Neurospora crassa OR74A: one gene and its partners. The protein of the gene in region 2 binds, or shares a complex with, the protein of the main gene of each other region. Links are inferred from orthologs where the notes say so. Each region holds a gene or a part of one and is shown on either strand. Other genes may lie near its edges. The genes, in order: NCU00040, NCU07380, NCU07831, NCU02813, NCU05889 and NCU03876.

Evidence for each region.
Region 1: NCU07380 (region 2) and NCU00040 share a complex: the UniProt entries of both Schizosaccharomyces pombe proteins name them as parts of the eukaryotic translation initiation factor 3 (eIF-3) complex. The link is inferred for Neurospora crassa OR74A from reciprocal best matches to the Schizosaccharomyces pombe genes moe1 and tif301.
Region 3: NCU07380 (region 2) and NCU07831 share a complex: the UniProt entries of both Schizosaccharomyces pombe proteins name them as parts of the eukaryotic translation initiation factor 3 (eIF-3) complex. The link is inferred for Neurospora crassa OR74A from reciprocal best matches to the Schizosaccharomyces pombe genes moe1 and tif303.
Region 4: NCU07380 (region 2) and NCU02813 share a complex: the UniProt entries of both Schizosaccharomyces pombe proteins name them as parts of the eukaryotic translation initiation factor 3 (eIF-3) complex. The link is inferred for Neurospora crassa OR74A from reciprocal best matches to the Schizosaccharomyces pombe genes moe1 and tif313.
Region 5: NCU07380 (region 2) and NCU05889 share a complex: the UniProt entries of both Schizosaccharomyces pombe proteins name them as parts of the eukaryotic translation initiation factor 3 (eIF-3) complex. The link is inferred for Neurospora crassa OR74A from reciprocal best matches to the Schizosaccharomyces pombe genes moe1 and int6.
Region 6: NCU07380 (region 2) and NCU03876 share a complex: the UniProt entries of both Schizosaccharomyces pombe proteins name them as parts of the eukaryotic translation initiation factor 3 (eIF-3) complex. The link is inferred for Neurospora crassa OR74A from reciprocal best matches to the Schizosaccharomyces pombe genes moe1 and sum1.

Annotation. Positions count from the first base shown.
Region 1 is NC_026503.1:2,375,198-2,379,464, reverse strand, and holds the start of NCU00040 (eukaryotic translation initiation factor 3 110 kDa subunit), read left to right. Parts: upstream 1-1,467; 5' UTR 1,468-1,943; coding exon 1,944-1,946; intron 1,947-2,178; coding exon 2,179-4,267. UniProt on the Schizosaccharomyces pombe protein: RNA-binding component of the eukaryotic translation initiation factor 3 (eIF-3) complex, which is involved in protein synthesis of a specialized repertoire of mRNAs and, together with other initiation factors, stimulates binding of mRNA and methionyl-tRNAi to the 40S ribosome.
Region 2 is NC_026501.1:6,147,114-6,151,114, forward strand, and holds NCU07380 (eukaryotic translation initiation factor 3), read right to left. Parts: upstream 2,801-4,001; 5' UTR 2,621-2,800; coding exon 2,389-2,620; intron 2,301-2,388; coding exon 1,055-2,300; intron 991-1,054; coding exon 693-990; 3' UTR 197-692; downstream 1-196. Other genes in the region: NCU07379 (bZIP-type transcription factor, variant), read right to left, coding at 3,248-3,341, 3,441-3,857. UniProt on the Schizosaccharomyces pombe protein: mRNA cap-binding component of the eukaryotic translation initiation factor 3 (eIF-3) complex, which is involved in protein synthesis of a specialized repertoire of mRNAs and, together with other initiation factors, stimulates binding of mRNA and methionyl-tRNAi to the 40S ribosome.
Region 3 is NC_026503.1:1,003,716-1,007,938, forward strand, and holds the start of NCU07831 (eukaryotic translation initiation factor 3), read right to left. Parts: upstream 2,801-4,223; 5' UTR 2,494-2,800; coding exon 2,121-2,493; intron 2,047-2,120; coding exon 1,064-2,046; intron 1,006-1,063; coding exon 1-1,005. Other genes in the region: NCU07832 (pre-mRNA processing splicing factor 8), read left to right, coding at 3,853-4,223. UniProt on the Schizosaccharomyces pombe protein: Component of the eukaryotic translation initiation factor 3 (eIF-3) complex, which is involved in protein synthesis of a specialized repertoire of mRNAs and, together with other initiation factors, stimulates binding of mRNA and methionyl-tRNAi to the 40S ribosome.
Region 4 is NC_026501.1:9,034,275-9,038,470, reverse strand, and holds NCU02813 (eukaryotic translation initiation factor 3 subunit M), read right to left. Parts: upstream 2,789-4,196; 5' UTR 2,333-2,788; coding exon 1,791-2,332; intron 1,719-1,790; coding exon 956-1,718; 3' UTR 501-955; downstream 1-500. Other genes in the region: NCU02812 (uridylate kinase), read left to right, coding at 1-130. UniProt on the Schizosaccharomyces pombe protein: Component of the eukaryotic translation initiation factor 3 (eIF-3) complex, which is involved in protein synthesis of a specialized repertoire of mRNAs and, together with other initiation factors, stimulates binding of mRNA and methionyl-tRNAi to the 40S ribosome.
Region 5 is NC_026507.1:4,174,229-4,178,373, forward strand, and holds NCU05889 (eukaryotic translation initiation factor 3 subunit 6), read right to left. Parts: upstream 2,801-4,145; 5' UTR 2,460-2,800; coding exon 2,043-2,459; intron 1,971-2,042; coding exon 1,056-1,970; 3' UTR 283-1,055; downstream 1-282. Other genes in the region: NCU05890 (hypothetical protein), read left to right, coding at 3,447-3,893. UniProt on the Schizosaccharomyces pombe protein: Component of the eukaryotic translation initiation factor 3 (eIF-3) complex, which is involved in protein synthesis of a specialized repertoire of mRNAs and, together with other initiation factors, stimulates binding of mRNA and methionyl-tRNAi to the 40S ribosome.
Region 6 is NC_026506.1:1,995,036-1,998,762, forward strand, and holds NCU03876 (eukaryotic translation initiation factor 3 subunit 2), read right to left. Parts: upstream 2,546-3,727; 5' UTR 2,284-2,545; coding exon 2,234-2,283; intron 2,107-2,233; coding exon 1,509-2,106; intron 1,377-1,508; coding exon 984-1,376; 3' UTR 501-983; downstream 1-500. Other genes in the region: crf4-1 (chromatin remodelling complex ATPase chain ISW1), read left to right, coding at 1-33; NCU03877 (C-1-tetrahydrofolate synthase), read left to right, coding at 3,589-3,727. UniProt on the Schizosaccharomyces pombe protein: Component of the eukaryotic translation initiation factor 3 (eIF-3) complex, which is involved in protein synthesis of a specialized repertoire of mRNAs and, together with other initiation factors, stimulates binding of mRNA and methionyl-tRNAi to the 40S ribosome.

The DNA of each region.
Region 1 (4,267 bases), on a different chromosome or scaffold from region 2:
CGGAGAAGGCGCAAATGGATCATTGACTGTCCCGAGGATTGAAGAGAGGGAGGAATTGCGGACAACGATGCCAGGAATGCTTAGGACCGACACACGATTGACGATTCCTAATAGCAAGTCTTGGGAAGAGAAGGGGCGCCCATATGGAAGTTCCTTCATTCCTTCAGTGCCACTGGCGGGCCCCGGACCGCGACGGGGGTCAGTGCGCAGCCTGTAGAACCAGTAGCAGCGCAGCAGGGAACGGTTCGGTAGGCGGGTGCAGTCCGTGCAATTCCCCAGCAGGCATGGACGCCCCAGTCTCCCCCTGCTTGGCCTGCTGCAGTGCTGCGCTTTTACCTGCACTTGCACTGCTGCAATGCTGGTCGCTTTCGGTGCTGCACTCCTCTTCTGGGCAGCCAAAGCAACCCAGGGCGACGAGGAAAAAAAGGGCCAAGTGCAAATGAGACGGACCAGGGGGTCGCTTAGCAGGGTTTGGTTAGATTAACTCGACACTAACTACGACCGTAGACGGAATGGGTGCAGACGAGTTAGTATCAAGACAAGATAGCAAGTATCACCACGAGCTCCGCATTCAGGATGAGGTGCCGGCCTCCCTATTGTCCTGCCCCATCCGTGCCATTGTGATTGACATTGTTGCAAGCTTCTGGAAGCGGGACTGGAGGTCAAGATCTAGGAAAAGAAAAGCACGATGGAGGCCGTTGAAGATGGACTGCTGCCACCGCCGCTGGATAGGCAGGGACAGGACTAGTCCGACCAACCGACGGGACCTTTTTTGGATCTGTCGGTGCTGCTGTGCATGAAAGCTGCAGCAAGAATGGCAAATGCAGGGCAGTCAGAACACGACGGGTTCCGCCCCCACTTTATCGTCCCCCCTTTGATGGTCTAGCGGAACCACCCCGGCTCAGCAGGCATCTCCGGACGGGATTGGGAATGGCGCCATTGGGTGGGTGCCCACTTGCTCCGACCGATGATGGACGCGAGCTTGAACGCTCTGGGTGGGACGACGAGGGTACAGAGGAGAGCCTCCTGTTTCTGCATGTATGTATGTATGTATGTATGTACACTACAGTAATCACAGACCGTGAAGTCCTATGCAGTTGCTGGTGTGCATTCAGCTACAGGAGAAGAGTTTGCAGCCACTCTAGCAGTTCAAGCAGCGATATCATATGCCTTTTAGGAGGATATATGTTCTTACTGGGGATTATCTTCTCAATACTCGACCGAAGTTCGCACCACGATTCTGTTCCAAGTTCCAACTAAGCCTCAAAGTGCAATTTCGTCGATGACAGCCGTGAGAAAGCTTGGCAAGACCGCCGACGGTCCGTCATCGGTCAAGGCGGGGGTCCGTGGCCCGGCAGAGAAGAACGCCCGTCGCCAGCGGGCTGGGAACTCGGGCACAAAGAAAGAACAAAAGCCGCTGTGCACACACACCATGGAGCTCCTTTCTAGTGTACACCAGACTGGACAGCACCAGACGCCAAGATGGCAGAACATCCCACTTGCCCTTTGCGACAATCCAACCTTTTTACCATTGTGCACAATAGCCTCACAGCAGATCACGGTTAAGATCAAGAAAATAATTGCATCTCAGTCAATCCCCATTGCTACAGAAGTGACCAAACATCCATTCGCACAACAACTTGCACTTCACGCCTCTGAGTTGTTGTCGCAGCGACGTGCTCGATAAGCTGCATCACGTGACTGTCCCGCATCATCCCAGCCCACAAAGTGCTCCTCAGCAAAATCGAGCCTCTAGCCTTGGCCAGGGCTTTTTTGGCTGGCAACGAACTGAACTTCTCCACGAGGCGAAAAAATCGTCCTGGACAGCGCAGCCTCAGCCAAAGTCTCCAGCATTTCTACGTGCTGCTTTGCGCGCCGCGTCCCCTATCACCACTTTATCCATATCTCCTCCAGATTAGCCAAGTGCCGAGGAGTTGCCCATCATGGTGAGTTGGGAATACAGCCATAGCCTTATGGTTATGGCTTCGAGTTCATATAATCTTCTGCCCCTCCTTTGACTGGAAAGCCAACTCCATCGTCACCTAACCTCATCACCGCCCACCCTGCCCTCCACCCCCCCCTTCAACCCTCGACCACCCCCGCTCCCCGCCTGTCCCGCTCACCACCAAGTGTCGTCGTGTGTTGTGACCCGTGGTGACCATTACTGATCATCAACAGCCTCCCCCACCTCACCAAAAGCCTGAGAATGTTCTCAAGCGCGCCCACGAGCTCATCGGGGTCAACCAGGCCCCCGCCGCCCTGACCCTGCTCCACGAGCACATCACCTCGAAGCGCTCCCGCAATGTCCCCATCGCCTCCCTGGAGCCCGTCATGCTCCTACTCGTCGAGCTCTCCGTCGAGCAGAAGAAGGGCAAGCTCGCCAAGGACGCCCTCTACCAGTACAAGAACATCGCCCAGAACACCAACGTCGCCACCATCGAGTTGGTTCTCAAGAAGTTCATCGAGCTCGCCGCCGAGAAGGTCACTGCTGCCCAGGCCAAGGCCGACGAGGTCCAGTCCAGCATCGAGGCCACCACCTCCAACATCGACGATCTCGAGGCCAGCGAGACCCCCGAGTCCATCCTGCTCGCTACCGTTTCCGGTGAGCAGTCTCGCGACCGCACCGACCGCGCTATCGTCACTCCTTGGCTGAAGTTCCTTTGGGAGGCTTACCGCACTGTTCTTGACATTCTCAGGAACAATGCCCGCCTCGAGGTTCTCTATCAGAGCACCGCTATGCAGGCTTTCGACTTCTGCCTCAAGTACACCCGCAAGACCGAGTTCCGCCGCCTCTGCGAGCTTCTCCGCAACCATGTCCAGACCGCCGCCAAGTACTCGGCCCAGATGCACGCCATCAACCTGAACGACCCCGATACTCTTCAGCGTCACCTTGAGACCCGTTTCCAGCAGCTCAACGTCGCCGTTGAGCTCGAGCTCTGGCAGGAGGCTTTCCGCAGTGTTGAGGATATCCACACCCTCCTCAGCCTCAGCAAGCGCCCCGCCAAGAACGTCATGATGGCCAACTACTACGAGAAGCTCACCCGTATCTTCCTTGTCGGCGAGAACTACCTCTTCCACGCCGCTGCTTGGGCTCGTTACTACAACCTCTTGCGCCAGTCTGCTGCTCTCATTGCTTCTGGCCACAGCAAGAAGGCTGATAACCCGGCTTGCAGCGATGCTGACCTCCAGAGGGCTGCCACCTTTGTCATTCTCTCCGCCCTCTCCATTCCCGTCATCAGCACCTCGCGCTCTCGCGGTGCCATGGTGGACTTCGATGAGGCCCGCAAGAACAAGAACTCTCGTTTGACCCACCTGCTCGGCATGGCCCAGGCTCCTACCCGTGCTGGACTCTTCCGCGATGCCCTTTCCAAGTCGCTTCTCCGCCGCGCCCAGCCCCAGATTCGCGATCTTTACAACATCCTCGAGGTCGACTTCCATCCTCTTTCCATTTGCCAGAAGATTTCCCCCATTCTCGCGGAGATTGGCGCCGATGCCGAGATGCAGAAGTACATCCTTCCTCTTCAGCAGGTCATTCTCACCCGCCTGTTCCAGCAGCTTTCGCAGGTGTATGAGACTGTCGACCTTGAGTTCGTCGAGAGCTTGGCTCAATTCCCCGAGCCTTTCCAGGTCACTCGCGGCACCATTGAGAAGTTCATTATGAACGGCAACAAGAAGGGCGATCTCGCCATCCGCATGGACCACGCCACTGGCGTTCTTAGCTTCGATGCTGATGTCTTCTCTTCCGCCAAGGCTGTCCACGCCGGTTCCTCTGCCGGCTCTGCCGAGAGCGAGACTGGCTCTGTACAGCGTCTCCAGAGCACTCCCTCCCAGATTGTGCGCTCTCAGCTCACTCGCCTCGCTGAGGCTCTTTACACCACCTGCCGCTATATCGATCCTAGCTTCAACGAGGCTCGCATCAAGGCTCGTGATGAGGCCCTTGCTCGTGCTAAGGCTGGAGCCGAGAAGGAGCACCAGGAGGTCCTTGCTCGCAAGGAGATCATCCAGACGCGCAAGGATAAGGCTTCTGAGGCTCAGGCCCAGAAGGAGAAGGAGAACGCTCGCAAGAAGCTGCTCCAGGAGCAGGCCCTCCAACAGGCTGAGGCCGCCCGTCTTGCCGAGGAACAGAAGCTCCGCGAGGCGAAGCGTCTTGCCAACGAGCGCGAGCAAATCAAGAGGAAGGAAGTTGAAGCCCTCCTCAAGGATATGAAGCTTGAGGAACTTCAGGGTGAGGACATCGAGACCCTTGACAGCAACAAGATCCGCATGA
Region 2 (4,001 bases):
AGCCGGAGTTGTGGGTTAGTACCTATTCAGTCGCAGTGGCGAAGACATGCATGATGGATCTGCAAGCGGGCAACAAACGGGCAGCAAACGGGCCCGGCAAAGAACGCGAGGGGCAAATCTGCGTTGGTAGGGAAGCAACAAACGCCAAAAAGCGTCGCGAAGTCACGTGAGACTAGAGTGGCCCTTCAACAAAGAATCGCCAGAATCAAGACAATTGAATTGACGCGCGAGCGATCAACTATCCTTTCAAAGTCTGTCGACTTCGAAATTTTTGTCTATGGGTATTTCCCCGCAATCATAAGCCGCTGCATAATATCTGAACCAAATACTGTGTACGCTACACGAGCCACGCCCATGTCTCCATTCAGTCTTGTCAACGCAGACCACCTTTTTGTTTCTCGAGACGGCATATGAAAGTCCTGCCATGAGTGACATTCTCGGTTGATGAACGCCTTCGAAAGAAACCAACCATATATCTCAAAACACAAGTAGCAAAAAAACGCTCCTTAACTGAATAATAAAACTGCTTTTATTCTCCGCTTCCCATCGGTCCAGGGGAGAGCATATCGCACTTGCTCAGATCCCCAAATCCTCATAACCCTCCCACACAGTTTGCATTATAGAGGCTTTCTATTCCTTTTCAGCAAAAGCCTCTTCTATTTCATGACCCATTCTACACGCCCAAAGGTATTTTATTCCTCGGCCTCCTCACCATCCTCCTCGACCTGGTCCAACTCCTCAGCCTCCTCGTCGAGGCTGCCGGCGGGGACCTCGTACAGACGAAGAATGTTCTTGTTAGGGTCCTTGACGAGGACGAACTTGGCGTCCTCAGACTCGGACTTGAGGCACATGTCGGCAATGGTGCGGACAATACCCCAGCCGTTGGAGAGCTGGAGGTTCATCTGATTGGCGAAGTCCTTGGGCTTCCAGCCAACGACGCCAAGAATAACGTGCTTGTCGTTGACCTTGGGGTTGACGCGGGAGACGAAACTATCGGGGAAAAAGAAAGAGTGGTTAGTATTGAGAATTGATCAACATAAGGCGCAAAACTTACCCAAGCTTCATGACGTCGGCCTTGGCGAGAATGGACTGGACAGTCCACCTGGCGAGCTTGCAGCTGTTGTTCTTCATCTCAGTAGCGACAACGGCACCACGCTGGGATGCGAGCTTGGTCCTCCAGTCGAGGGCACCGCCAGCGCCCTGGGCCTTGCTATCCCACTCGTTGAGGGCGTGCACGGTAACGAGCTGGTTCTTGCCGTCGGTGGCATTCTTCTGAACAGCGTCGATCTCAGTACGAACAACCAAGAAGGTGGACTCCTCCTCGCTGGTGGAGAGGTCAAAGCGGCGGTACTTGTAGGCCTTGGAGGCAGGGGGAACGTTCTCCTCGGAGGCGTTGTAGAAGGGGTTCTCGTGGGCCATGTTGACCTTCTCGGACTCGTTCTCGACGACAACCTGGTTGGCGAAGTTGTGGTTGATGAAGGTGGCCTCCTCGGCAAGGGCGTGGGGCTGGTTGATGCCATCCTTGGAACCCTCGGAAGCGTCGAGCGGAGCGTCGGCGGCGTTCTCGTTGACGGTGACAAGGTCGAGAGCGGCGTTGTCGCGCTTGTCGAAGAAGATCTTGTTGCCCTGGCGGGAAATGACGATATCCCAGGGAGCGACGGAGCGGGGAGCGCACATAAGCATGGAGAGGATGTTGTCGGTGGCGAAGATGGTGGCTTCGTCCTTCTCGGCGAGCTCCTGGATGACGGGGTCGGAAGAAGTGGTGACGTTGTAGGCAGCACGGTCGATGGCAGCGAGCCTGCGCTCGGCGTTCTTGACCACGGGCTTGTCGTAGGAGCGGTCGTAGGCGTAAAGGAAACCGTAGTCATCGACATCCTCACCCTCGTCGGTCTCGAGGTTGAGCTTGCTGAGACGGTTGTAGTCAATCTCCTCAATCAACTTCCAGTCACCCTTGATGTTGATCGAAGCATCACGGTTGCGCTGGGGCTTGTCATAATCCTTCCAGCCGAAGCGGCGACCGCGAGCACCAGTGTTCTGGCGGCCACCGCGGCCACCGTCGTAGCCACCACCGTACTGCTGACCACCGCGACCTGTCCTCTGGAAGGTCTGACGGCCACCACCCCTGCCAGCCTGGGCGCCAGCACCGCCGCGTTGGCCACGGCCTCTAGTAAAGACAGCACCACGACCGAAGCGGGTCTTGCCAGTATCCTTGACGTTGGAGACAACGGAGAAGGAAGACTCGTCCTCGGCGACGGGGGGCGCAAAGATGGAGGTGGAACCGGCGCCGTAGATCTGCTGGTCTGGAGTGGGAAGTTAGTAAACATCATCACTCTCATCCAGACCTCAAAAGGGTCATGAAGAGGACAGAGGCCGGCTAGGATAACGCACCACGGAAGTTCCTGTTGTACTGCTGGCGACCGCCACGGCCGTCGCGACCATCCTTGGAATCGGCAGTCCAGTCAGCCATGCGGCCGAGCTTGTCGCCCTTGGAGTAGGGAGCGTAGGGGACGCCATTGAGAGTGGTCTCGGTGGTGATGGCGGGGCCCCAAGTGGCACCCAGGTCGGGGAGGGAGTCGATGAGGTCGACGAGGCCCGAAAGGCCAGGAGTAGGGTTTGTCATGATTTGGCTGTCGTATGTGGGCGATGAAACGATATCGGAATAATATCGATAGTCGGGACCTGGCGCAAGTTGGCAAAGACAAAAATAAAAAGAGGACCCAGGACTCGGAGGGGTTGCTTCGAATTCGCCGGGGCTGTGTCGCTGTGGGATTCTGCTGTCCGGGCCGTGCAGCAAATTGCCCCAAAACTCAGAAATTCGCAGGGTGGGGTAATTGTGTGGTGTGGGGCTCTCCGTACCTAGCTCCTTACCTCTACACCGTGGCGGGCATGGGGGTTCACCGACGAGCAACTGACCAATCAGTATCTTGGATTTCAGGTAAGTAGGTTCACCGTCTTCACCCTAGCAAGCCCAACGCTCATGTTGTCACCATTTCCGGTACACCTTTCTTTGACATCTTTTGTTGGCCTTTGCTCGGTGTTGCTAGTATTATTCTGACACTTCCCTCTCGAGAGGGCTTGGATTCCATCATGCCCTGAATGGCATTTTGAGGCCGGTTCAGTGATAACTGATTTAGTTTCCAGCTTGTCTAAACATGGGTAGGTAATGTTTACAAAAAGATACCTGCCAAGGCCTCCCTCATCAGTCGTCGAGCCAGCTATTATAGGCGACCGCACCAGCACCGTCCTCTCAAAAATCCTCAAACACTCTTCCATCCGGCTTTGTCGAAAACAGATTCTCCAACGCATCCCTAACCTCAAACTCTTCCATCACAGCTCCAAACCTACAACCACGCCGAAGAAACAAATTAGCAATCCATTGCTTCACTTTGACAGACACAGGCAAAGGAAAGCATTTTCGGCAACTGAAAGGCAAAACCTACCCGTAACACCGAACCTTGCTCCCCAACTCCTCCGTCAACCGCGCAAAGTCCTCCAGCTGCAACTCGGCAAGCCGCGGATGAGCGAGGATCATCCCCCAAGCCATGACAGGAGTGATCTCCCCGTCGAGATCTAGCCGCTTGCTTAGGTCGAGCAGCGTAGCCAGGTCGGCTTTGCTGAGTTCCCATGTGCGCTGACCACCACCGCTTATGCTAGTAGGCATCGGGGGGTGACCGTGAGCGTGAGCGTGAATGGTGTTGGTGTGCCCGAAAGGGCTCTCTGGCGATAGCTCGGAGAAGGGCTCGGGGGGACAGGAAGCCATGAGTGCGTGGCCGCAGGGCTCTCGCTGCGCTCTGTCTTCGGTGCCGGTTCCTCGTTCTAGTAGCCATGTCATGTGTTCCATGCATGGACGCTCGAGTCTAAAAAAAGGTAGAACCAAGGGGCACTTGTTAGTTGCTTTTGTTCCCTTCCCTTTTTCTCTCGTGTATCAGAAAGTTGTCGAACCCTCCAGCATTGAAGACGAGCAACATGGATCTCCGTTTCTCCCTTGTTTCTGCCGACTG
Region 3 (4,223 bases), on a different chromosome or scaffold from region 2:
CTCAACACCCTTGCGGAAGATGACGGTCTCGGTGACCTGGTCAAGAGCAGCCGCGAGCTCCTCGTGGCTGATCATCTTGCTGACGACAGCAGAGACCTTGCGAGAGTCGAGCTCAAACATGGAGCTGAGGGTAGCAATGGCGAGAGTGTCGTAGAAAGGAGCATAGGTGAAGAGGTAGGTACGGAGACCCTCCTCCTGGATCTGCTTGGCGAGCATGGTCTTGATACCCTCGGTGTTCGGCATCAAGTCCCAGATCTTGATGCTGTGAATGAAGTCGGTGGCCTTCTTCCACTCACCAGCAGCAAGGGCCTTGGAGGCCTGCATGACGTGATCCCTGGTGTTCTCCGGAGGCCCGGTAAAGATCTGGCGTTCATGGTACTCGAGCATACGGCGGTAGGTCTTGCTGATGATCCTCTTCTTGACATCGGGCGAAGAACCGGTTTGGGCGAGCAGAGGAATCTCGAGGAGCATGCTGCAGGTAAGGTAGACGCACTCAAGGAGCTCGAGGTTGATGTGCATGTGGAAGGGAAGCTGGCGCTGCTTCTCGAGGCGCTCCTGCTCAGGGGTGACCTGGCTGTAACGCTGGATCATGACGCCCTGAGCAAGAAGCTCCTTTTGACGGCCACTGCCGCAGATCTCCTGGAGGGTGTTCTGGGCGTCGTAGACGAGACCCTTGCGGAAAGCGCAAAGGCCGACCTGAACGAGGGTGCGGTTGTAGAGAATCTGGGTGGCGATGTCGAAGTTGGCGATAGTCTCCTGAAGATGGGAAGTGAGCATCAGGTCGCGAGACTTGTAGTACTCATCGTGCAGAGCCAAGAAGTAGATCTGGCAAAGCATGGCACGGGCGCGGATGATGCCCTCGCTGTTCTCGAACAGGTAGTTAGAAAGGATGTTGATGAGCTTGCCAGCATCGCCGGATTGGCTGCGGGGGGTAATTTCAGAATCGGCCTCAGCAGAAACCTGCTTCCACGCGTTCTCCTCGAGGATCTTGACGACTTGGGCGGGCTGAAAGAAGATGATTAGCAAAGACGGCTGAGTATTCCAGCATTAGCTCTATACATACCTTGTAGTAAACATGGTCCAGACGCCTCTGGATGATGCGGTTCAAGCTCTCCTGGGGAACCTCGAGGGAAGCATCCTTGCGGAGGTGCTCGTAGTAAAGAAGACCACGGAAGATGGTGTTGTAAAGAGAGCCCTCATCGGTTAGCCTGTCGATGTACTCAGAGGTGTGAGGATCGATGGCTTGGAGGGAGCGGGTGAGCTCGTCATCGAGACGCTCAATGAGCGAGACAACGCTGCCGGGAACCTTGAGGTACTTCTCACCCTCGGGGATGGTGGGGAGCTTGTCATCATCATCCCACTCCTCAGCGCCCTCAACAACAACATGGTCCTTCTCCTTCTCGAGGATCTCCAAGAGAGAGGCAAGGTCACGCTCAGCGGCCTTCCACTGGTCCAAAGGCATCTGGGCGGCGCCACCAGCACCAAGATCGAAGCGGGCAGAAATAAGGGTCTGGAGGACACGGATCTTCTGGTAAGGGGTAATGGGGACGACCTTGTTGAGGGTCTCCATAACCTTGATCTGCTCGAGGCGGTCGGTGTTCTTCTTGCCGCGAGACTCGATAATGGCGCGGAGGTGCTTGAGGATGCTCTCGGGGGTGTACTGAACAACCTTGCCGCGCGAATCGACCGTAGAGAAGCCCTTGTCGTCCTCTTCCTGCTGCTCAGCACTGACGACGGGAGCCTCGAACCGGACCTTGGAAACAACCTTGGGCGCGGCAACCTCATCATCCGACTCCATGAAAGCGTCCGCATCCTTCCTGTAGGCATCGATCTGGGTCTGGTACTCCTTATTGTTCTTGCGGATGCGCTGCTTGACGGCGTTGAGACCACGGGCATTTGTCGCGTTCATCTTCTTGGGAGTGACCTTTTGCTTGGCGAGAGTCTCGTTCATGAAGTCCTCAAGATCGGCAATGGCCTTGATGTAGGACTTGGGCGCCTTGCTGCCATCTTGGAGCTTGACGACCTGACGGTTGAGCTTGTCGAATTCTAAAGCGGGGAGGGGAGTAAGTATCGGTGCAGGACATATCGAGGGTGTATGCATGCATGAAAGATATACGAACCGTTGGCGATAAGACTCCAGTCGTTGATCTTCTGGCCGTTCTGGATCTGGCTGATGGTGGACTCGAGTTCGTCGAAGCGCTTGTCCTTGGCGCTCTTGACCTTGGTGGTGGCTTCATCGTCGCTCTGCTCTTCCTCCTCCTCCTCGGACTCGTCGTCGCTCTGCAAGAAACGGGAGGCACCCTTCTTCTTGGTTCCTTCTTCCTCGTCGCTGCTGGACTCCTCGTCGCTCTCCTCCTCGTCAGACTCCTCCTCAGACGAAGACTCGTCCTCGGCCTGAACCTTCTCCTCCTCCTCCTCCGAAGTGTAGACCTCCTCCTCCTCGGAGCTGCTGTCGGTGGAGCTGTCGTCACCGCCGCGGAAGAAACGAGACATGGTTGCGGTCTCTTTCGATAGACTCGGAATAAATATGCGGGTTCCGGGGGTATGGGCGCGATGCAGAAGTCCGGGTTACCGGTATGGGTACTTGGAGTGGTGGACGGAAGTGGTGATGGTCCGGATGGTTGGCAAAGCAAAACCCGGCTGCGGCGAGGCGGACAGAGGGGTCAAAGAATTAATTTTCACTGAAAGGCCGTTTTGGTGGGGGCGATTTGGGGCTTAGCGAATCGAGCGGAGCTGTTTGGGCCTCGAGCGCTGTAATGATTGGGTATGACTTAATCCGAGCAAGGGGTGTGGGGGGAGAGGATACTTGCTCCGCGGGGGGGAGGCTGAACTTATGAGCTGAATGTACCTGCTTCCGCTTGGAGATCGCAGGACGGGATTCCTAGAAGATGAAGATAAGGTCTGAACCTTGCAGATGTTCGCATGAGGGATCTGTCAGAGGAACGGGTTTTTGTGTATACTTTGGCGAGCGGAGCGAGGGAACAATATCAAGCATTGCTTTGTCAGGCCTTCACTATGAGATTCAACACCTGTCGTCTGGGTACTTGGGCGCAAACAGCCAGCCAGCTGATGCCCCACCTTCAATGTATCAGCTACCTGAACTGATAATGTATCACTATACTCGGTTACATGCATCTGAGACGTGCTGTGAGCTTGTCAAGCCAGATCTACCACGTAACGGGGATTGCGTATCGAAAGTTACAGTACGTAACAGGAGACGTTTCGCCACGAAGTCGAGAAGTGACAGCCCAGCCTGCCCAGTCGCTGCAGGCAACCAACCCCAGGCCCTCTTTCACTAACTGGAGTGGCGGGGACGCTACCGGGCTGCAGCTGCCAACAAGCACCTGCACAGCGAAGAATCCCGCTGCCAGGTTTCCCGTTTTGCGCGCCAGGACCTGGACCGCCCGCCCTGACCTCTGAACTTTATCGACCGCCCACGCAGCTGTCGCGAGGCTGTTCAAGTTTTTCGTAACGAGGCCAACCTGCCAACGTCAACGCCAGCATCCTGGCGCCACCAAACCACACTTTCACGAATACAACATCCACCTCTCCATTCTCAGCTTGATCGACCATCGCCGCGATTTGGTGCGAGGTCGACCTACGCCCATTTCCATCTAAAACCAATGGGAATCTAATATTTGCCAGTCCTTTTTTCTCTTCCTCAGCGAGACAGGCCTTGGAACGACGCACGCGGACTGCAAACCGCCATCGCGCGGACAGGCGACTTCACGGTATCCAGCCTTCTATCCATCTCGTCGCCAACGCCGACTGGTACACGCTTCTGACGAAGACGATTACAACGAAACAACCACATAAACGTCAACAAAGCTTCATCAAGCAGAAATCGAAAAAATGTCCTATCCGCCACCACCACCTCCTCCCCCCGGCTGGGGCGCTCCTCCGCCGCCATCAGCACCTCCGCCGCCGCCGCCTCCGTCCTCTCTCCCACCTCCTCCTGCCCTCCCAGCACCGCCGCCGCCTGGGTTCTTTCCACCAACCGACCCTCATGTTGCCAAGTTCGCCCAGAAGAAGAAGGAATGGCTTCGCATGCAGAGAAATCGCTTCGGCGAGAAGAGGAAGGGCGGATTTGTTGAGACGGAAAAGGCCGACATGCCACCAGAGCACTTGCGGAAGATCGTCAAGGATATTGGGGATGTTTCGCAGAAAAAGTACACCAGTGACAAGCGCAGCTATCTTGGGGCGCTCAAGTTCATGCCCCATGC
Region 4 (4,196 bases), about 2.9 Mb from region 2:
GAGCATGCCGGTTGTGGATCACTATGAGAGGGAAGGAAAGGTGGTCAAGGTGGATTCGACGCCGGGGCCGGAGAAGGTGTATGAGGAGACGAGAAAGCAGCTGAGGAGGGTGTTTGGGGATAAGTTTTAGTTAGTGTAGGGGGGGGGGGGGGATTGACTTGACTTGTCTTACTCCGGGGATGGGATGGGGGGTTGAGGTAAACTTGGTTTCTAGGTACTAATTCTGAGATGGGGTTGGCCGTTCCATTAGATAAAAACTTTTAAAATACTATACACTACTACAGATTTATTGGAAAGGGACGGAGCGATGGAGTCGCGGAGGCGGTTCGTGGATGGATGGGGATGGTTTTCTCCCGTTTGGAAATTGAACTTGCTCTGTCTTTTTCCAGATGTCGAGATGGCTTGGTATTGCGTTTATACTATTCATCGTTGGGAAGCCTGAGCATGATGATTCATTGTTCCCTTTGCTGCTGGTGGTCATAGACCTTGTCTCAAAAAGCATTGATATTACGCTTCCGTTGCCTTGTATATCCTGGGTATCATGATCTATACTCCACCTTTCTGGATTTGCCCTCACGCATCATATCATCCATCACTGATGTATAAATGGAGAGAGAAAACCTGATGATTGCTGGATATCTAAAGCTGCCATTCCTCGGAATGATACAACAACAACAAAAATGCAAATCCGCCAAAAAGTGTAGCAGCTCTACCTTGAAAATAGTGTTCCGTATTTTTTTGGGGCTCACAACTCCTTGATAGATAACAACAACAACCCGTTTTGATGTAGAATTCCTTTCCCATTCGAATGAACTGAACTGAACTGATGACCGAGCGGGATGATACAGGGGCAAGACATCGCTCTTTTTTCTTTTTGAAAGGTCCCCCCATATCTCTATGCTACTAACAACAACAACCAATTATTGCAGCAAAACATCCTGTTGGCAACCCCCCTTCAGTCATCATCATCCGTGCGTTGCCTCGTCTGTCTGGCACCGCCGGTACGTCCTCCCCGGTTGCCGCCGCGCTGCTCCGACTCGCCAAGACCGGCGTTGGCCAGCTTGCGCTCGAGCTCCTGCTGCTCACGCTCACGCTGGGCCTCGACATCGGTCTGGGCCTTGCGCACGACGCCGACGAGCCTATCGACGACCGTCTTGAACTGGTCGACGCGGGTGCCGAGCTCGCGCCACTGCTTCTCGCCAAAGACGCGGTAGGTGGTGCGGTGAACCAAGAACACCTTTTGCTTCTGTGACAGGCGGCCCTCGACCAGCTTGGAGCGGATCACGTCAATGGTCCACATCTCGACGTCCTCGTCGGGGATTTGGAGGGCCTTGGCGATGCTGGCGTAGGGGATCTCGCGGTTCGGGGTGCTGGCGGCGAGCGACGCAAAGGTGAGCAGGCGCATCTTGCGCTGCAGCTTCTCGTGGTCGAGCTTCTCGTTCTCGATCCATCCCTGGTGCTCGTCCCTAAAGTCGTTGTAGTCCTCGAGGTCCTGCTCGGTGAAGATGTCGAGGAGCTGCGAGTAGACGGGGTGCGAGTCGCTCAGGGCGTGGACCGAGGGGAGCGAGCGCAGGTCGTTGAAGTCGAAGCGGGTGGGCGACGAGATGGCCATGCGGAGGGCGCGGAGGGAGAGCTTCTGGGCCTCGTCGGAGGCGACCTCGTCCTGGTTGTCGCGGTCGAAAGTGGCCAGAGCCTTGAGGAGGTAGAAGTAGGACTCCCTGCAGACCAAAGGTTAGCATGAAGCCGTAAAGGTGCACAATGCATGATGCTATAAAAGGTAAAATACTCACTCCTGATCACCGCCGTCGTTGGCGGCATCGGAAACCTCGACGTAGAGCTTGCGCTGGCTCTCCGAGTCGGACTTCCATTCCTGGAGCCAGCCCTCGACGTTCTTTAACCTGGGCTTGAGGAGGTCGAACTGGCTGTTTTGCCTGATGAAGCGGACGATCTGCATAAAGACATTGAAGCGCAGCGGGTTGGACTTGTCGAGGAGGTTGAAGATGGTGGTGAGCGCATTGGAGGCCAGGGTGAAGCCGTGGGTGGGAGACGAGGTGATGGGCTTGAGAAGGTTGGCGCACAGGGTGGGCAGGTACTTCTTGGGCTCCTCGGACTGGAGGACGAGGTGGATGAGGAGGTTGTAGGCGGGGGTGAAGTCCTTCTCGGGGGCGGCGTTGAGGGAGTGGGAGGCCTTGACGATGAGGTCAAGGGCATCCTCGCGCTTGTCCTGCTCGAGGAGAGGCTGGACCTGCTCGCCGACCTGGACGAAGTCGGCCATCTCCTGCGCCAGCTCGGCGAAGGTGCCGTCGACGAAGATCAACTGGGGGGTAGCCATGTTGATGGGTGTTGACGGTGTGTGTGTGTGTGCGTGTGTGGTTGTTTGACGACGGGGCTATCGAACTATTCCCACTTGGACCTCAAGGCTGGAGTGAGGTCGGGTTGAGGCGAGACACACGGCGGGACGGAGTCAGGGACGGACGGGGGACACGGCGACGGGGAAAATATGGCCGGGGACAATCTGATAGTATGTCCTGGTGCTAAAGGTCGACACTGGCCGGAAACGATACGGATATCCTGTCAGACGTGGGAGGGAGGGGCGGGCCCCAAAGGAAGTTTTCTTAGTGGCAGGGCTCCGCTCTTTCTTTTTCTTTGCACAGTTCCTGGGCCTCGACTCGCTGAGTGGTGTGGTGTCCCTCTCTCATCCCATGGACGACAGAGACCTGACCGGACCCTCGACCCAATTTCTCAAAGCAAAAAAATGCCCCGCATTCCAATGCCAAGCCCACCGCCTATTTTTGCCCTGTGCTGAAGAAGAGCTGTTCTGTGTGCTCCAGCCAGTCACGTGCAGGAGCTGTGTCGATGGTCAGGGTTATTGCAGTCATCTGCTTGTGACATAGAAAACCCTGACCCATGGGGTGGTCCGTCCCAGCGAGGTCTTTGACAATGTCAAGCTCCCGGGCTTCAGTCCCTTTTCCTTTGCTTGTCACCGTGCGCTTGACATTGTCCCCAGCTTCTCCAAATCCGATCTTCTTAAAGTCACATTCCCATCCATGATTCTCTTACATGGATATCAACAAACGCACCTGATGAATAATCGAAGGATTCGAACTTGACAAATCCATTATCCAAGTCGAGATTTCTGACCACTCGAACAATATGATTTCCTATATGATGTGATGCACTCGATCGAGGTTCGCAGTTACTTGCCGTGGGCTGTGGAGATATCAACCACGGGAATGACGACACACCTTGATTGGAGTATTCGGCTGCATCAAAACAAAACTATTGAACTCGCTACATCATCGAATATTTTCTTTTCGACTTTTCACCATCGTATCCATCAGGACAAAAATGGGACTCTAGCCAGTTGCAACAGTCACCTTTGTAAGCTAGGTCACCTAAAACACAAACAGAAGCGGGAAGCAAAGAGGGGGTCACGGGGCATCCGAATCGGATATCCAGGCAGACACTTAAAAGTGTGGTGGTGACCCGGGCAACGGCCACCTTCCATTACAGCCTGAGGATATTGTATCAGCTCCTTCCCTTTTCCACTGACGTGATGGGAGTCTCAAAATAACAAATGACCGGCACGCCTGACAGCCCAGAAGGATGGTGAAGAGTCACAATGAACCCACAATAGATTCCCGAGAAAAAGAGTGATGACCAACCAGCCCTACGCTACTATGTATGCAATGCACATGGTGACATTCAACCAGGGCTGAGGGTGTGCACCGCCGAAAGAAAGTCAACAAGTGTACCTAGCGTACAGAGACAGCAACAGTAAACAAAGCCCCGTGGGGGTATAACTCAGATTGTATATACACGTGGATATTTCATAGAGCACTGAATAAAATCAATGTTGTCAACTGGATGCTGTTTCCCTTTCTGTGGATTTGTTGACTTAGACGCGCCAAAAGAGTGGAGTTATGGCGAGGCGCGGCGTGATTTCCAAGCGAAAAAGTGGAAGAAAGTGAGGAAAAGGGAAGCTTCCACTTGGGGCGCGGTCATCAAGGCCTAGGTTGTAAGGTAATGTACACTGTGAGTCCCTGACGTTGTATGGTTGCTTTCTGGTGGAGGCCCCCCCCCCCCCCAATACCTTAGCACTGCCCGCGGCCTATCCCAGTCCCTCGCGAACTGCACAGTAGCATCATTCAGTTCACTCAGTCAGTCATTCTCCCCAGCCCGGCGCCGTCACCACC
Region 5 (4,145 bases), on a different chromosome or scaffold from region 2:
AAAATTCAAGGAGACAAGGACTCGAAGCGGGGGTAACGCCATATCAATACAGCTGCAGCCTGTCAGCCTGTGCCGTATGAACCTACCTAGCTGGAAACTGTATCGGGCAGCCATTGGTCGTTCTGCGACAAATACAACTGCCCAACTTGGTGGCTTGGATATTGTATGTTGATTGGAGGCTGGAAAGGACGAAAATAAGAATGCCCCTGGTAGAAGAGTGAAAAGGGAAGAGGCGGGAGATGGACGATACCACGCAGATATGGAGGAAGGGAAGGAGCATACCTCAATAATTGGTTGCCACAGTTTTTCCTGGTTGATCACCCCAGCTCAGTTGCTATAAAGAAGGGACCAAGTGGAGGTTACCATGATGCGATGAACAATGTTACTGATGGGAAAGGCAACCTGACTCATAAGCCAGCTAAAAGCAATGAGCCATAACCATTTTGATACGCCTGATGAGAAGCCTGTAAAAAGAAAAAACACACACACTAAAGAGGTATGATTACACCGGTTGTTGTCATGACGTAAAAGGCCTCCTTCCATTGTCCTAATTCCCTTGCTGCCTCTACCGCCCGAGCCCATGCCCACACGACAAATAGCGACAATTGCCAAACGCTGAGAGATAGAGAAGACTATCGAGGCAGATGAGAACGAAAGAAGAAAAAAAAGGTCTATTCTTCGAAATGCATCGCTAACCCTTTTTGGATTCGCACTTTCAAATCCTCTCATTGCAATGGCATAAAAGATGCTGGGAGGGGATCTATCCGAGACTCGTCCTGGTCAAGTTGAAGCCCATACGCTGAAGCAGTTCGCCTGCCATGAAGCGACTGAGTTCGCCTGGCCACTTGATGCTCGCCGCGTTCCAATCGTCGGCGATAATCTTGGTCTCACATTCGACGAGAAATCAGTCGCCGCTTTCATGCGTTGCGATCGAGCCCATGCCATAATCATTCCTTCACAATCCTCTTATCGCCCTTGCTTTCCTGACATGTCGACCCGGGTATACTTCTGCCGCCACCATCAGTCAGTTCTCCACTGCCGCTATTGTCACACGCCTATCTGGCAACAGCAGCAGTCAAAACCTGCGTCCTGAAGAAACCGCCCTTGGTGCGCTCAATGACCTGCTGATACACGGAGCTCGGGGGGTGGTTCATGACAACGGTACCCTCCTTGTAGTCGATCTTGGCGTCGAGGCGGGTGTCGCGAATGAGGTTGACAATCCACTTCTCGGCGTCGTCGTTATTAAGACCGAGGCGGGCGCTGAGGTCCTTGAGCGAAATGCGGGCGTGGATCTTGCAGTAGCTCTCGAAGATGAGGTGGCGGGCCGAGTCGACAAAGTCATCGGCGTGGGCGAGCAAGAAGAAGTCGCTCCTGAGGACCTCCTCGGCAAGCACGAGCTGTTGCTGAGCCTCCTCAAAGTCAAAGTCGATGCACAAGGCGTGGACGAAGCGGGTGATGGGGTCCTGGTACTCGTAGGCCTCCTGCTTGACGATGCGAACAACGTCCTTCATCTGCTTCTGGTGGACACCGGCGTTCTTAGCGCGGCCGCGGTTGGTGATGACGGCGACGGTGAGATAGCGGAGGATCCAGGGCGAGTTGGCCTGGATGGTGTTGATGAAGCCGGCGTTGAAGAAGAGGTCGAGGAGGGGCTCACGGGCCTTGTCGTAGTTGAAGAGGGGGAAGAGGGCCCAGTGGACGAGCTCGGTGCGGTGCTGCAGCTGAGCAAGGGGGTTGTTAGCGAGCCTGGTGTCGATGCTCTCGCGCACCTTTTGCAGCTCCTCCATGGCGGACTCCCAGTTCATGGTGAGGATCTCGCAGGCGAGACGACCCCATGTGGCGTACGAGACCTTGTCGTTGTCGGTGGAGAGGACGCGGAAGCGGTAGAGGAGCTCCGAGGCGTCGGCGTAGTTGCCGCACGAGTACTGGAGCTGGCCAAAGTCGTAGAGGGCGTTGACCATGTCGATGGTGACCTGCACAGGATATGGGGGTTAGCCATGTACTACAAGCCACATGTGCCGATGGAAACAAAAAGTAGGACGTACGTCGTGCTCCTTCTTCAAGAACTCCAAGTTGGCCACCTTGTCGGAGCGGAGGTTGTTAACGACATCGTCGCGCTGCAGCAGCTCGGTGATCTTGGCAGTCTCCTGCTCGTACTTTTCGAGCTGGTGGAAGACCTTTTGGCGGCGCTCGGCGTACTCGGCGGGGGGCTCCTTAAGACCCTCGAGCTCGCAGTAGAGGTTGGCGACGTAGTCGGTCATGTTGGTCTTCTTGAGGAGGGCGTACTTGGCGGCGAGGATCTCGCGAGCCTTGTCGGTCTCATCTTCCTTAAGGCGGCCGGCGTTGAACTCGAGGAGAGGGAAGATCATGTGGCGGTCGAGATGGGGAGCGAGCTTGAGGACGAGGTCATAGTTGGCGGGCGCAACGTCGCCGTTGGTGGTGGCGGGGGATGTGGAAGCCATGTTTTGGATTTGTGTGTCTGTGACTATGGTGGTGGTGATGATGTTGGATGGTGGTGATGACAGACGACACTGAGTGGACGACGACAAGGTCAAGTCGGAATCGGGTCGAGTCGAGGCCTGGAGAGGAGAGAGGGGGGGTATTACGGTGGGTGGGATAAGATAGAGGGCCGGGGGAGGGTCGGTCGACTACTATCAGAAGTGAAAGGAAGAGGAATATGGATGGAAAGGGCGTGTCCGGTCTCCAGCTTCGTTCGTTCAGTTGCCAGGCGCTTTGGAAATGCGATCCGCCAAATTTCTCTTTGTGACCCCGTCCAGTTGTGGTGGCCCGTCGTCAATCTTTGGTGGGGTCGAAAATTGGGAAAATGCGCTTGACACCACTGACCAGTGACAAAAAGCACGGGCCATCGAATTCGGTTCAATGCTGCCTCTGTCGCACAACAATTGCACGGCAGCTGAATGCGGTGCCACTTCCACTTCCACTTCCGTCTAGGCACCACGGGAGGGGTAAGTGTAGAGCCCAGATCAGGCACCCCAAGGCCTGGAGCTTCAGCGAACGCCCTGGGCACACAGTTTCAGGCTTTCGTCCCTCTCGCTCGGCGCACATCCCGCCGGACGGGGGGCAGAGCACCTGCGCGGGTACCTACGCGGGGACGCCCGGGCGGTCAATAATTCTGCCGAGTACCGACCAAATTTCCAGAACCCGACGACGGACCCGCCGCGCCGAGAGGAACACGGCCCAGGGCACGGGACGCGGGACCGATCCGACTCCAGCGAGCCAGCAATTGAACGCGCCTCATCCGAAACGGGGACCTCTTGGCCGCAGCGCAGGTCCAGTCTGACCTAACTCCAGATCCCAGCCAAGCCTACCTACCTACCTACCTATCAGATCCCGTTGCGACCAACCGAGCCCAGCTCGATCGATTCGACCTCTTTCTGTCTTTACCACCACCACCACACCACCACACGACACAACACAACACCACAACCATGTTCCGCTCGACCTTCTTCGGCCTCTCCCGGGCCATCGTCCAGCCCGCGACGCCCCTCACCGTCCGCGCCGCCTTCCAGTCCCGATTCTACTCCGCCGCTGCCGCCGCATCGCAACCAACAACAACAGCCACAACAACGACACCACTCCAGCAGCAGCAGCAGCAGCAGCCCACCACACAACCCACCACCCCTATCCAGACCCAGACCGGTGCCGCGCCAACAGAATCCACGAAACCCGTTGCGAAGCCCTACCTAGTAGGCCGCGCCTGGACCCAGCGTCTGCCCGTCTACCACCTCGCCAAGCGCGGTGGTAACAAGAAGCTCACCCAGATCAAGAAGGTGCAAGGTGATGGCCAGGCTCTGCGCAGGGATCTTGCGCAGTTCTTGGGGCTGGAGGTGAAGGAGGTGCGGGTGAAGGTGCCGACAGGACATTTGGAGGTTGATGTAAGTTTTTTTTGTTTGGTTTTTTTGCATTGCCGGTTTGCTGCTATTTGCAAGAAGGGTGAGGCAGTATGACATCAAGAGTGAGGGAATGAATGGAAGAGAAATCGGAAAAGAGTTGGAAGTTCGGAAAGAGAGGCAAAGAGGTAGAGGTTCGAAGATCATGGGACAATGGACAACGGGTTGAGATGGGAGAAAAGAATAGGGCGATAAGAAAACAAGAAGAGGGTTAAACCTGCAGCAGAAAGGACAGGT
Region 6 (3,727 bases), on a different chromosome or scaffold from region 2:
GGCAAGGCTGCCCCCAAGGGAAAGAAGAAGTAGACCGCCTGATGGTGGTCCAGACCAAAAATACAAGCTACGGCACATGTATTGACTTGGCTTGGTATTCGAAGCTGTAGTTGCGTTTCATATGACTGGGTTAGATTGGGTGAAGGGGCTCGGTTCACCACTGAGAAGAGTCCAGGGAGGGTTAATGCAGTTGGCTCGCGGCGTTTCCGTTGTGTCGTATTCATGTTGCGGTCTCGGTGATGGTTATCTCACCTGCCGTCATTTAGCGAGGGATTTCTCTGCCTACCTGAGGAACAAAAGATATCCTTTTGGTCAAATCCGTTCTCTGATGGATGAATAGGGCATGATGTGCGCAGTCTTGTACTTCCTTTACCCCTGTATTATTGTTTCCACTTGTGTTGGATTCTTATTGACCATAAGGGAGTGAGTAAGCAATTGGCGAAAGACCTCTACTTATAACGTCCAATCTGATATCACATGAACGAGGTTGCGCAAGATAGTAAGCAGAAGAACGACCGAATTCAACTATGACAAATGACTCTTCTGTGCTTCGATAGGGACCAAAGGTTCCTTTCGTGACAAGATGGAAATTACATATCCGCTCTCCGCGCGACTCACTTGTTCGTTCGTTTGCTTCACATCGAACCGCACCACCTCATCGCTCCAATTTTTGCTCCTTTTCACTTTTTTTTTCACCAAATATTGGGTGGAATCGCCCAAATTCTCAGATTAGGTTGCCTGAAAAAAACGCCGTTTGTGAAATGCCCATTTCCCCCAAATTGTTGGATCCCTGGACGCGCGATGTAAAATAACCCGTTTGCTCATTTCCTTCCTCCGACAAGTCGAGAGAATCCTGAACTCAATAACACGACACCCATATTTCGTCCCGCGAATCGCCTTTCCGCCCCTTTCTGCCGCCCCTCCTCGGATCCTGCTTGCTGAAAGTCCGAAAGTTTCGATCGATGTCGATAGAAGGGATCCGTTTAGGCAGAAATGGTCTGCTGTTGTTGCTGGTTGAGCTTGTTTTGCCTCTCCCTCTCGACCTCGTACATAAAGTCAAAGTAACCCTTGTCGAAGTGATGGATACGGACGTAACCGTCCTCACCACCGCTGGCGTAGCTCTTGCCGGTCGGGTCGGCGGCAACCGTGTTGAGGGGACCGAAGTGACCGCGCACACGACCAATTTCGCTCTCGAAGATCTTGTGGTAGAAACGCGCCTCGAATTTACCCTGACGCGCGGAGGTGGTGGTGACATCCATGGCAGCCTGACCACCACCGAGAATGACGAAGTCCTTCTTGCGAGTGATGGTAGCGCTGTTAAGAGGGGTGTCGGCGGGGTAGGTCTTGAGGACCTCCAGGTCCTTAGCTGTGATGAGCTGTGAAAATAATCAAGGAGTGTTAGCATGCGATTGACTGTTCATTGATTTCGGTTTTAAGGATCCGGGAAGAAGACCAAAGAAAGAAAAAAAAAAGGGGGGGGGGGGGGGTTGTGGAGCCATGTGACATACCTTGGAGGTCTTGTCCTTGGAGGCGGTAATGAAGTATGTACGGTCGTGCGACCACTGGAGATCGGTGATGGGCTGGTTGAGCTCGTGGATGGGGATGTTGTAGAGGAGGTCGCCGTTCTTGCCGTCGAACTGGGAGACGGAGCCGTCTTCGTGGCCGGCAATGATGTACTTGCTGAGATAACTCCAGCCAGCAACAGTGGCCTTGCTGTCCTCGCAAACGATAGTCATGGCCTTCTCATCGCTCTGCTCGGCGTCAACATCGAGCTTGATGTCGAGGACAACGATGGTACCCAGATGACCCATGCGCTTCTCCGTCACACCCAGAAGCTTGCTGCCATCCTCACTGAACTCAACGCGCTTGACGGCGGTAGGGAAGTCCCATGTCTTAAGAAGTCTGCCGGTCTTGATCTCCCAAAGGCGGATGGTGTTGTCGGCAGAACCAGAGGCGAGGATGGTGGATGTGGGGTCGACATCAATGGTCCAGATGGCGCCCTGGTGGCCGTGGTATGTACCGAGACGCTCGCCGTTGTGCGCGAACCAAACGCAAATCTGCTGGTCCTTGGAAACTGAGAAGAGCAAATCACCGTCGCGGTTGTACCTGTTGGGGGTAAAGGGTTGCTGTTAGAGGCTGCATCTCTATATGCCCGACATGCCAAAGCCAGAACACCAAGAGGGGTCGGGTCGGCGGGTAAGGTATGCGATGATGATGCGGAGGGAAGACGAACTTGATCTGGGTGAGGGCACGTTCGTGGCCCGAAAGAAGAATGGGCCTCATCTTGATTGTGGGTTATTAAATATGACGAGGCGTGGACGGCGGTATGGAAGTGTTATGGTCGTTAGAAGACACTGAGTGGATTCGTCGTCGAGAAATATCGCGGGGGGGGGTTGCACGACTTGGGAGGTAGGTGGGTGGATTAGTGTCTTTGTAGATGCGGTCGTCGTCGTCGGATCGGTCTTTGGTGTTCTTTCTTTGGGTGGATTTCCACTCCCAGTAATTTTTCCGCAGATTGTGCGCGATAGGCTGGCTGGCTCTGGCGGATTCTGACGGCCGCGGGGCGAACCAACACCTATCCCTGCAGATGCCAAGCTGCCCCTCTCCAGTCCCTCGTCCCAGCCAGCCGTGTGCCATCCATTGAAGCTGCTGGTTTCAGTTCGGACCGGACTCTGGACCTTGCGATGCAGCCTGCCACCTCGATCCGCCGCTCGCAGCCTGCCGGCCCGTCGACAGCCACCGATAAGAAGTTGTGGCTCAGTCTGTGACTCAGAGTTTAAGAGTCAGCTGTATTCGTCAAGCCTGTGCCGCGGCCGCAAGCCACACCAACTTCAATCTAGAACAACGACACAGACAGGACAGTGCGAGCACATCATGATCCGAGCTGCTACCTGCAGCAAGCCGAGAACTTGTAGAGTCATGGATGCAGCATCTAGACACCCACTTCAATTGCAGTTATATGAATGCCCTCTTCCGGGGGTCGCATCGAGGAGGAAAAGTTCTTCAACTCTCGGAGATTTGTAGACGGAAATAGAGGCTTTTCTAACGAGACATGGTAGGATTCTTGCAAGAATGCATGGTGAATACGTACTATTTTGAGAAGCTTGGGTTTGGGCTCTATTCTATTTAGGTTATCTCATTGGCTTCACGTTTTGTTGTCACATTTACACTGGTCATTTGCGGCACGTCTTGAGACGCTCACCTTCGGTGACTCCTCGAGAAGGGAAAGAAAGAAAAAAAAAAGAAAAAAAAATCACAAATCACGAAACCTCTATTCCCGCCAGCAAACCGGCGATCATTGGATCCTCGACATCGATCCCCCGTCGTCTACCTAGGCGGGAACCCATTGTGACTCTTCTGTGCGGCGCAGAAAACCCCTGGGTCCCGAATCCGTCTGGTCCCACCCCGTCGTGGAGGTGCCCGGGGGCGTCGAGAGAGCTTGGCCGGGCGGAAGTCTTGAGCTTCTGAATATCCCTTACCCCGAGCCTGCGTCCGCTGCTGTTCAGTGTGATGTTGTTACAGCACGCACGCAGAAAGACCACTGCACCCTTCTTCTAGCTCTACAGTACCAGTCTGCGTCGTGTAGGCATGGCCATCTCCAGCTTCATCCAGAGGGTGTCTTCCACGTCAAGGAAGTCGCGTCGAGCCGGAAGCTGTCTCACATCCCTGTCCGCACACGGGTCGCTGAACACACGGCGGCGCATTCAAGTCGAGCATACGGGACAAG